Danio rerio: one gene and its partner. The protein of the gene in region 2 interacts with the protein of the main gene of each other region in a pairwise test. Links are inferred from orthologs where the notes say so. Each region holds a gene or a part of one and is shown on either strand. Other genes may lie near its edges. The genes, in order: hinfp and npat.

Evidence for each region.
Region 1: the proteins of npat (region 2) and hinfp interact in a two-hybrid assay, tested with the Homo sapiens proteins (2 studies listed by BioGRID). The link is inferred for Danio rerio from reciprocal best matches to the Homo sapiens genes NPAT and HINFP.

The regions. Positions count from the first base shown.
Region 1 is NC_133180.1:31,212,665-31,217,100, reverse strand, and holds the start of hinfp (histone H4 transcription factor), read right to left. Parts: upstream 3,028-4,436; 5' UTR 2,610-3,027; coding exon 2,447-2,609; intron 228-2,446; coding exon 1-227. Other genes in the region: dpagt1 (UDP-N-acetylglucosamine--dolichyl-phosphate N-acetylglucosaminephosphotransferase), read right to left, coding at 4,359-4,424. UniProt on the Homo sapiens protein: Transcriptional repressor that binds to the consensus sequence 5'-CGGACGTT-3' and to the RB1 promoter. Transcriptional activator that promotes histone H4 gene transcription at the G1/S phase transition in conjunction with NPAT.
Region 2 is NC_133190.1:28,005,800-28,009,628, reverse strand, and holds part of npat (protein NPAT), read right to left. Parts: coding exon 3,795-3,829; intron 1,869-3,794; coding exon 1,759-1,868; intron 1,671-1,758; coding exon 1,580-1,670; intron 734-1,579; coding exon 1-733. UniProt on the Homo sapiens protein: Required for progression through the G1 and S phases of the cell cycle and for S phase entry. Activates transcription of the histone H2A, histone H2B, histone H3 and histone H4 genes in conjunction with MIZF.

The DNA of each region.
Region 1 (4,436 bases), on a different chromosome or scaffold from region 2:
ACAGTGCTCCCATAGGCAGAGGAAGTTCTCTTGGACCTCAGGAACGATGTTGCGGTTGTGGAGGCCGACGGAGCAGGCACCCATGTCGCTGTGGCTCTTGAGTATAGCAAGACCCCATTGCTTCAACTTGGTGTGGTAGCAATGGAAGAATATGTGTCTGAGAAACTCTTCATCTCCTTCCACTGAGCAGAAGCCACAGTCTCGCCACAGACAGTTATGCTCCTCTTCTGAAAGACAGGCAGGCAAGCCAAGCTATGATTATTGCCAGCAGAGCCAGTGACTGCCAGAAAACTTGAGCTGAGATGCTCAACACTCAGAAACAATCCTCTGATGATGTAACATTGATACAGACAGACAAACAGTGGATAAATGTGTGCCAGTGACTAGACGACTGCCCCCGAGTGAAATAAATTTTTTTTATAATAATAATATTAATTAATTAATTTTCATTTTGACTTAGTTCCTTTATTGATCTGGGGTCACCACAGCGGAATGAACCACCAACTTATCCAGCATACGTTTTATGCAGCAGATGCCCTTCCAGCTGCAAGCAGTCACTGGGAAACACCCATACACTCTCATTTACACCTTCCTCAATTCAACAGTACCGCATATCTTTGGACTTGCGGGGGAAACTAGAGCACCAGAAGGAAACCTAAACAAACACAGGGAAAGCATGCAAACTCCAAACAGAAATGCCAACTGACCCAGCCTGGGCTCGAATCAGCGACCTTCTTGCTGTGAGGTGACAGCGCTACCCACTGCGCCACCCAAAATAGATATTAAAGTAATAACAGTTTATTATTCATAAATACAAGCAGTAACCATATAGTGAGTACATGTAGTTAATCATTATTCAGTAAAAAAATATAGTTAGTTTCACTGTAACAAGAAGAGTGTAAAATAGTGTAACCCATTCTTGTAACTAAAACTTTGATCATAATCTTTTAACTAGACTTTCTATAGTATTATTTAGTTGAGAATTGTAAATTCTTAAAAAAAATTCTTAAAGTTTTTTTATTCAGCTTTCATTTTAGTTTCAACTGAAGTAATTCTGTTATGTACTTTGCAATGCATTTTATAATTAGTTTTTTTTTTAATAATGTTATTTTATTATTTAGTTTTTTTATTGTGATGCATATTTTACAAATGAACAAAATTTTTTCAAACTTTATTAAAAATATATATTTCATGTTTCAGATGACAATAAAAAGAGACTAGAGAATATTATGACAGCTTTATGACAGAGATATTTTGAACAATGCCTGACTTTGGCCTTTTCCATTTTCTGACAATAAATGGTGACTAATAGCAAACTTAAAAAAGGTTATAAAAACACAATATAAAATATCCATGAAAACCATAAAAAGTGGTCCATATGACCAAAGATGCATCATTTTTCAATGCTATTCTCCAGTGGTGCCCAAACTTTTTCCTATAAAGGGTCAAAAACCCAAGGGCCAAGATGATTGAGGGCTGTGGGCCAAATACCCACCAAACCGTATATATTCTATTTGCTAAGGGTAATATGCTAATTTATTTGGTAATATTTAAAAATAACTAGAAACATTGCTTTAAATCATATTAACTAATGCAGAATCATTTTTTAACATTTTATAATGAACTCATTAAAGTAAAAACATAAACAATCCCATTTATAAGACAATGGGGTTAAATGTAGAATACACTAGTCAAGCTGCTCCTGCGTTTACCTTAATTTGCTCACAGATATCTTGTGCATTGTCCTCTATCTGTCAAGTGACCGTATGTACATTTTAAAAGTCTGATTCATCTACAACATTTAATCCAATCATTTAATTTCATTTGGCTTTTTGGTAGCTCAGCAATAAAATGAAGAAGCAAAAAGCTACGTTAAATTTGAAAAGACAATCTCTGTCAAAAACAGCCCCAAAAATTCGCCCCAACCACCTCTCCATCGCTCTCTCCCTCTCTTTTTACATGGCATGGCAGGCCAATTCAAAGGTTACCATATGCCAACTTTTGCCTGTGGGCCCTACTTTTGCATCTCTGCTATACTCACTAATACTAATACTGGCACTTTCCATTCCTTATGGTTCATTTTCCTAACAGATAAATAAAAAACAAACAAACGTTGTAACATGACTAACTGGAACTTGTCACAGCAGGTATTGCTATCTTATTTTGTTGGTTTAATTGCTTCTTTTGTTCTCATTTCGGTGTAAGATTAAAATGTTATATAAACGTGTTATCTCCTCCCACAAAAAAAACATTTGTTTTCAGCGATCTCAGTAGAAAAAAAAAGATCTGGAACAGCATGTTGTTGAATAAGTGATGACAGATTTTTTTTTTCTTTTGGGGGTAAAATATATACTTTAACCAGGATAATAAGTGAATAGCTAAATACAGGTTAAATACATTTCATTGACGTATCTTGACCCCTGGCCCTTCCACATGTTTAACGCACCTGGAAAGTCTGTCTTGTTGTCCACGGTGACTTTATAGTGTTTCTCCACATGCTGGCAGAAGTCCTGCATCCTGTCAAACGTCTCCTGACACGAGCCCCATTCACAGACGAGCTCCATCTGCAGCTCCTCTCTGCGCAGGCCTCGTTTGGCTGACGGGGGCATTATACAGCATATAAAACTGAATATAAAGCACAACGTGTGGTCCTCCAGTCCTCTGAATAACAGAAACGTCACATGTGAGACCTAATATGACTGTTAAATTCTGCACACCGCAGCTCAAGCCAAGTGTCAGTTTGTTTGTATTGAATAACAACACACAGCGATTTTCAGCACACGAACTCCACCAAAACGATTACATCCATTACATGAAAGCTTATTAAACATCGAAAGCACAAACAGGTTTATGAAACCATAGTCAGAGTTGTTAAGCTAGCATGGTGCATAGCTGCTTAGCACAACAAAAAGGGCAAGTTAACATTCTGCCTTCGTTTTGCTGGTTGAAGCATTTTTGTTAGTTTCGGGTTATAATAAACGAATGTGTTTTCTTTCAAGACTATTATTGTGGGCGCGAGCAGTTACAGGTGCTTAAAAGTATTGAGAAATAACTCACCTTTAACAATTACTTGAAACATTTCCTCACTTTTTTGCCCAGAAATTAAAGAAACCAATCAGAAATCATCTTTGCGGCGTTGCGTTCAAATCTAAGCCAATCAAATTGCAGCTTTGCTGTACGTCATGATAATCGTTCCCTCCAACATCTAAATTCTTTCAAGTGTTCCGGATTGCACAATGCGTTCACTGGCTAGAAATGAATGTCTCACAGCGCTCAAAACGATTTTACTTGATGCACGACACTGTTTTCTGTTTGGAGTGGACACAGTATCATTCTACTTTAACAGTAAATGTGAATGAAAGTTATATTCTATTGTTAACCATACTAAAGTACTTGAATTAATCTGTGGTAATTATATAGTTGCTGCGGTAATACAACTACACTACTATAAACAAATCATCCAATACTTAATTTTTCTACAATCATATAGGGCATGATATACTATAATACACCACATTTTACTGTAGAGCTAACTTAACTGTACTTCAATGTTTTTTAGTTTTATCAGTTCACTATAGTTAATTCTCTGGTATGTGGTAGCATTTATTAACTGTTGCAAATACTGTAATATACACAGTTTAAAATGCTTTACTGTAGTATGGTTCCAAAACACTATAGTGTCTTTATGTGGGTAACAATTATCTATTCTCTACATATATCAGCTAGACACACTACAAATACACTATAGGTTTATATATATTTTTTTATTTTTTATCAAAACAATCAGCATATTTTGGTTATGTTGGATTTCAAGTTTGAATGCTCCATTTTCTTTTCTTGAAGCTAACATGGTCCATTGTCACACTGGTTTATTCAAATGAGTCATGTTATTTGCTCTGACACAGAAAAATATAAGTGCACATGTGTTTCAGCAATATTTCAGAAATGTTCACACCAACTGTCTAAAATATCCCTGAATGTAAATGCTTCACATAATTTTTCAAAATAGAACCGTCTGCTTTTCAGGATGCCCCACATTATTGGAAATCCTCATGCTGACATTGTTATTTACAGAGCCTTCATGTCCCAGTGAGTATTGGGGGCTTACGTGTAGATTGTCCCTTCACATGCAGATACACAAACAGAAGAGCTGAAATACACTGTACTGCAATGAGATTTTTATAGAAAACAGGCAGTAGATAGTAATAATATATATATATATATATATATATATATATATATATATATATATATATATATATATATATATATATATATATATATTAAAAATCAGTTGATTCAGTTGTTTGTCCAAATGAAAGCAGCAAGTTGTAGAGTATCTCAGGTTCTCAAGTTTTCTAGACGTCATAGAACAGACGCACAAGGTGATAACGAATGCCAAATGCCACAGCACTCCCCAAAACCTGCATTAAAAA
Region 2 (3,829 bases):
GTTTTGCATAAAGTTTTACTGGAAGAATTTAATAACGGTGTTGCAAATTTTGCTGGAGATGGTACGAGATTGTCAGTGGGACGTGCTAGTGTTTGACTGCTCTCCAGCTCATTTTCTTTATTAGCAGTGATGCCTGGAGAATCTTGTAAGGATGTTTTCTCTGAGGACATTTCTGGTGGGTTTGAGAGAGTCTTTTCACCTGATGATTCTTTCGAGTTGTCTGATGGTTTCTGTTTTGGCCCCGGGACAGATGATGTTAAAGGCCCTGCATCTTTGCTTTGTGATTTTTGTGATGATTCTGATATAACAACAGACTCTTTGTGTGAAGGCTTGGTACTTTCGATTATATTAAGTTCTTTATCAGTCACACTACTTTTCAGAGCTTCCTTTTGTTGATGAAAGATGGTGACTTTTGTGGAGTCTTTTGCACCCGTGTTGGTATTTACTTCTGGAAGTCTAGTTGTTTCTATTCTTCGTTTGGATGTGTCAGAAGCTGAAGGCTGTTTGGCTTTAGTGGGTGTGATTTCTTTTTGAGTCGAGGAGGATGTAACAGCAGAGGACGTGAGCATGCTTGTCTGTGAGGAATTTGGTCCAGTTGCATTGTTTTCAGGCGTGACGTCAAAGCAAAGTATCCGCCGGTGGCTGGGGCTTGACCCATTTACACCCTTTTCTTGTTCAGAAGTCTGGGAAAGCACTTTGGAAACTTGAACAGAGCCTGGTGTGCCAGTTTTGGCTAAAAAGAAGTAAACAAATAGTAAGCTCTTTTTAAAAAACTGTTATTAAATAACTAGTTAATTTCAAATCAGACATGGGAGAAAGAGAAAAAAAAAGATTTGCATTAATAAAATGCAATTGTCAAGCAGTGGTTTGAGAAACATAATGTTGGAATCAAGTTAATGTCTTGGCCTCCCAATTAACCTGACATGTACCCAATCTAATACCACACAATGTAATGGAACTGGAGGATCTGCTTTTGACATTATTGTACCACATTACCCACAAGACCAATCGCACCAAGGCCTCACCATGTGGTAGTTGATTTTAAAGCTAATACAATGAATAATACTAAGACATGTATAGACCCTTTTCAGATTTCTAGGTTTCTCAGTAGCAGAAGTGATCATGGTTGGGTAAATGTAGAGTGCAGTAAAAAAAAATTACAATCCTATTTGCTGAAAAAAAAAACTATGATGGTGTTGGTGAAATGATGGTGAAAAAGTAAGAAAAAAAAAAGAAACAAAAAAGTGTATGTAGGACTGACAATGGCAGCCAGAAAACAGAAGAACGTCATATTTACTGTCCCGCCTCATGAACGCTGCATTTCAAACACCGCGCACAAGCAGCAATTCATGATTTGATGCAAAGATGATATAATACATACATAAAAACATAAATGTTCATACATTTAAAAAAATAATATATTAAAAACTTTTAAGAATTTAAAATGCTGATGCCTGTTAAACATGTCATAATAGTCTTTTGAAAAGTCCCTTGTCAACATGTATGTGTGTGTTGCAACAGTTTTAATTTAGAAAAAAAAGATATAAAAAAAGAAATCTGAAAACTAAGTCTGTCTTACCAGTGTCAGTGTTTTCCTTGGGTGCCAGTTTATGTTGCGAAATTACTTTCGTAGGTTGCCTTACAGTGGTTGAACGTGGCAAAGTCAACATCTGTATTTAAAGAGTAAAGATTATAAACAATACTAAGACACTGAAATTAGCATTGTTTAAAAAAAAAAAAAACTACAAAGATACTGACCTGATTTGGAAGGACTGTGAGTTTTCCAGTATTCTGCCCCATAACAGACACTGGAAGCACCACATTTTGTAACATAGGCTGAACAGGTGACGATATAATAATAGTGGAGCCTAAAAATAAAAAAGTTGGAATTTCAAACATGCAGGAAGAGAAAAAGAATGTATCTCAACATAACATAATCAACTGAACATAATCAAGTTAAAGAAATAGCTCACCCAAAACTATTCTGTTATCATTTACTCACCCCTCACTTATTCTAAACCTTTTTTTCTTCTGTTGAAGACAAAATAATTATTTAAAGAAATGCTGGAAACCTGTAACCATTGACTTCTATGGTATTTGTTTTTCCTTTTATATCAGAGTACAATACAGATTTCTAACATTTTTCAAAATATCTTCTTTTCAACAGAAAAAGGTAAATTCATAAGGGTTTGGTACCACTTGAGGGAGAGTAAATAGCGAGTAGTTTTCATTTTTGAGTGAACTATCCCTTTAATTTTACTGATGACCCTTCTTAAAATCAGGTAAGACTTAGGCCCAATCCCAATTTTACCCCTTAGCCCTTCCCCTTCATTTTGCACGTTTTTGTGAGGGGGTAGGGGTGTCTCAATTCTCTTTAGCTTGAAGGACTCCAGGCTGATTTATACTTTTGCTTTGAGTGATTGGCATGACCCACGGCGCCTATGTTGTGCGTACTCGTGCATTTATACTTCTGCATGCTGTTTGTGTTGCTCTGCAATAACACTTCCGAAATGCTAGCAGGCAGTGAGGTTATGTTCTTCCGTGTCAAGTTTCTTTGCGGGTGTTCTGTTTTTTTCTGAATGCTACCTTAATGTACAAATAGTTAAACTCACTCATTCTGACTGAGGCAGGAACCGGCGGGCATGAAACAATTGTAATCATAAGGTAAACACAAAACAAGAGTCTATCTGGAGCTCCTTCATAAGACCAGACACTTGTAAACACTCACTCTAACAGGCTCGTGGCTCTCAGCACCGCCCACACTCATCACAGCTAACAAGTCAACCAATCACACAGCTTGTGATGTGTAGTTACATTTTATTGAGAGATGCGCATCAGCCACAGCAAGGGCTATGCGACCGTATGAAGGCTACACCAAAGCATACAAGTGCACTTGACGCAGAAGTATAAATCAGCCTTTAGAACCACACTAGAAAGCAAGGCATACGAAAATTTCTCAGAATACAGCAGCTACAATGGCAACATGGCTGCAGGCACGAGTCAGGAGATACACAAAGGAGTATTTTTTGGTATTCTTATTAAAAATTTTTTACAACAAACAAGGATATGTTTTAATTATAGGTGGGCATAGAGTAATTTTTTTAATCTAGATTATTCTCGGAATTAATGTAGATTAATCTAGATTAAAATGGCTCATTTGATTTTTGTCGAAGGCATTCAGTGTGTGCTAGCCAAATATTAAGTCTTTGAGAACGCGTTTCTCTAGCCAGGTGGCGCATTAGACCAGGGGCTCATCTCCCGTTTCCAAAATGCATGAATGAAATGTTCATGAGTGAAAGTGAAACTGATGAACAGCAGTTAGTCAGGCATCCTGCTGATTTGATTCAGAAGGGCTCTTTGTCGTCAGATGCCTCACCGGTCAGGTTTACATCTGTGCTAAAATATCAAGGTGAAAGTCATCATAGCTTGCGCAGAATAGACCCAGCTCCCAAACCAACTTTGAGAATAGATCAACGGTGATATTTATTTTTGTGCGATAAAAGTCTCTTGTTAATGCCAATAATGGCCCACCATAGTATTGAACAACATTCGTATTTGAAAGTCATGCTTTTTTTTTTTAAATATTAAAAATACAAACTGATGAATCTAAATTTCACTATGTATAATCCATAATAATAACTCCTGTATAGTAGTTTCACAACATACTTTCACATCTGTCATTCTAATACCCTGTCAGAAAAATAATAAAATAATATAGGGATTGACAAATAAACTGATTTAATATTAGTCAATTTTTATTTTTTGGTGAACTATCCCTTTAACACTTCACTCACCTGGCGAATAGGTCTGAGAGACATTTGGCCCCATA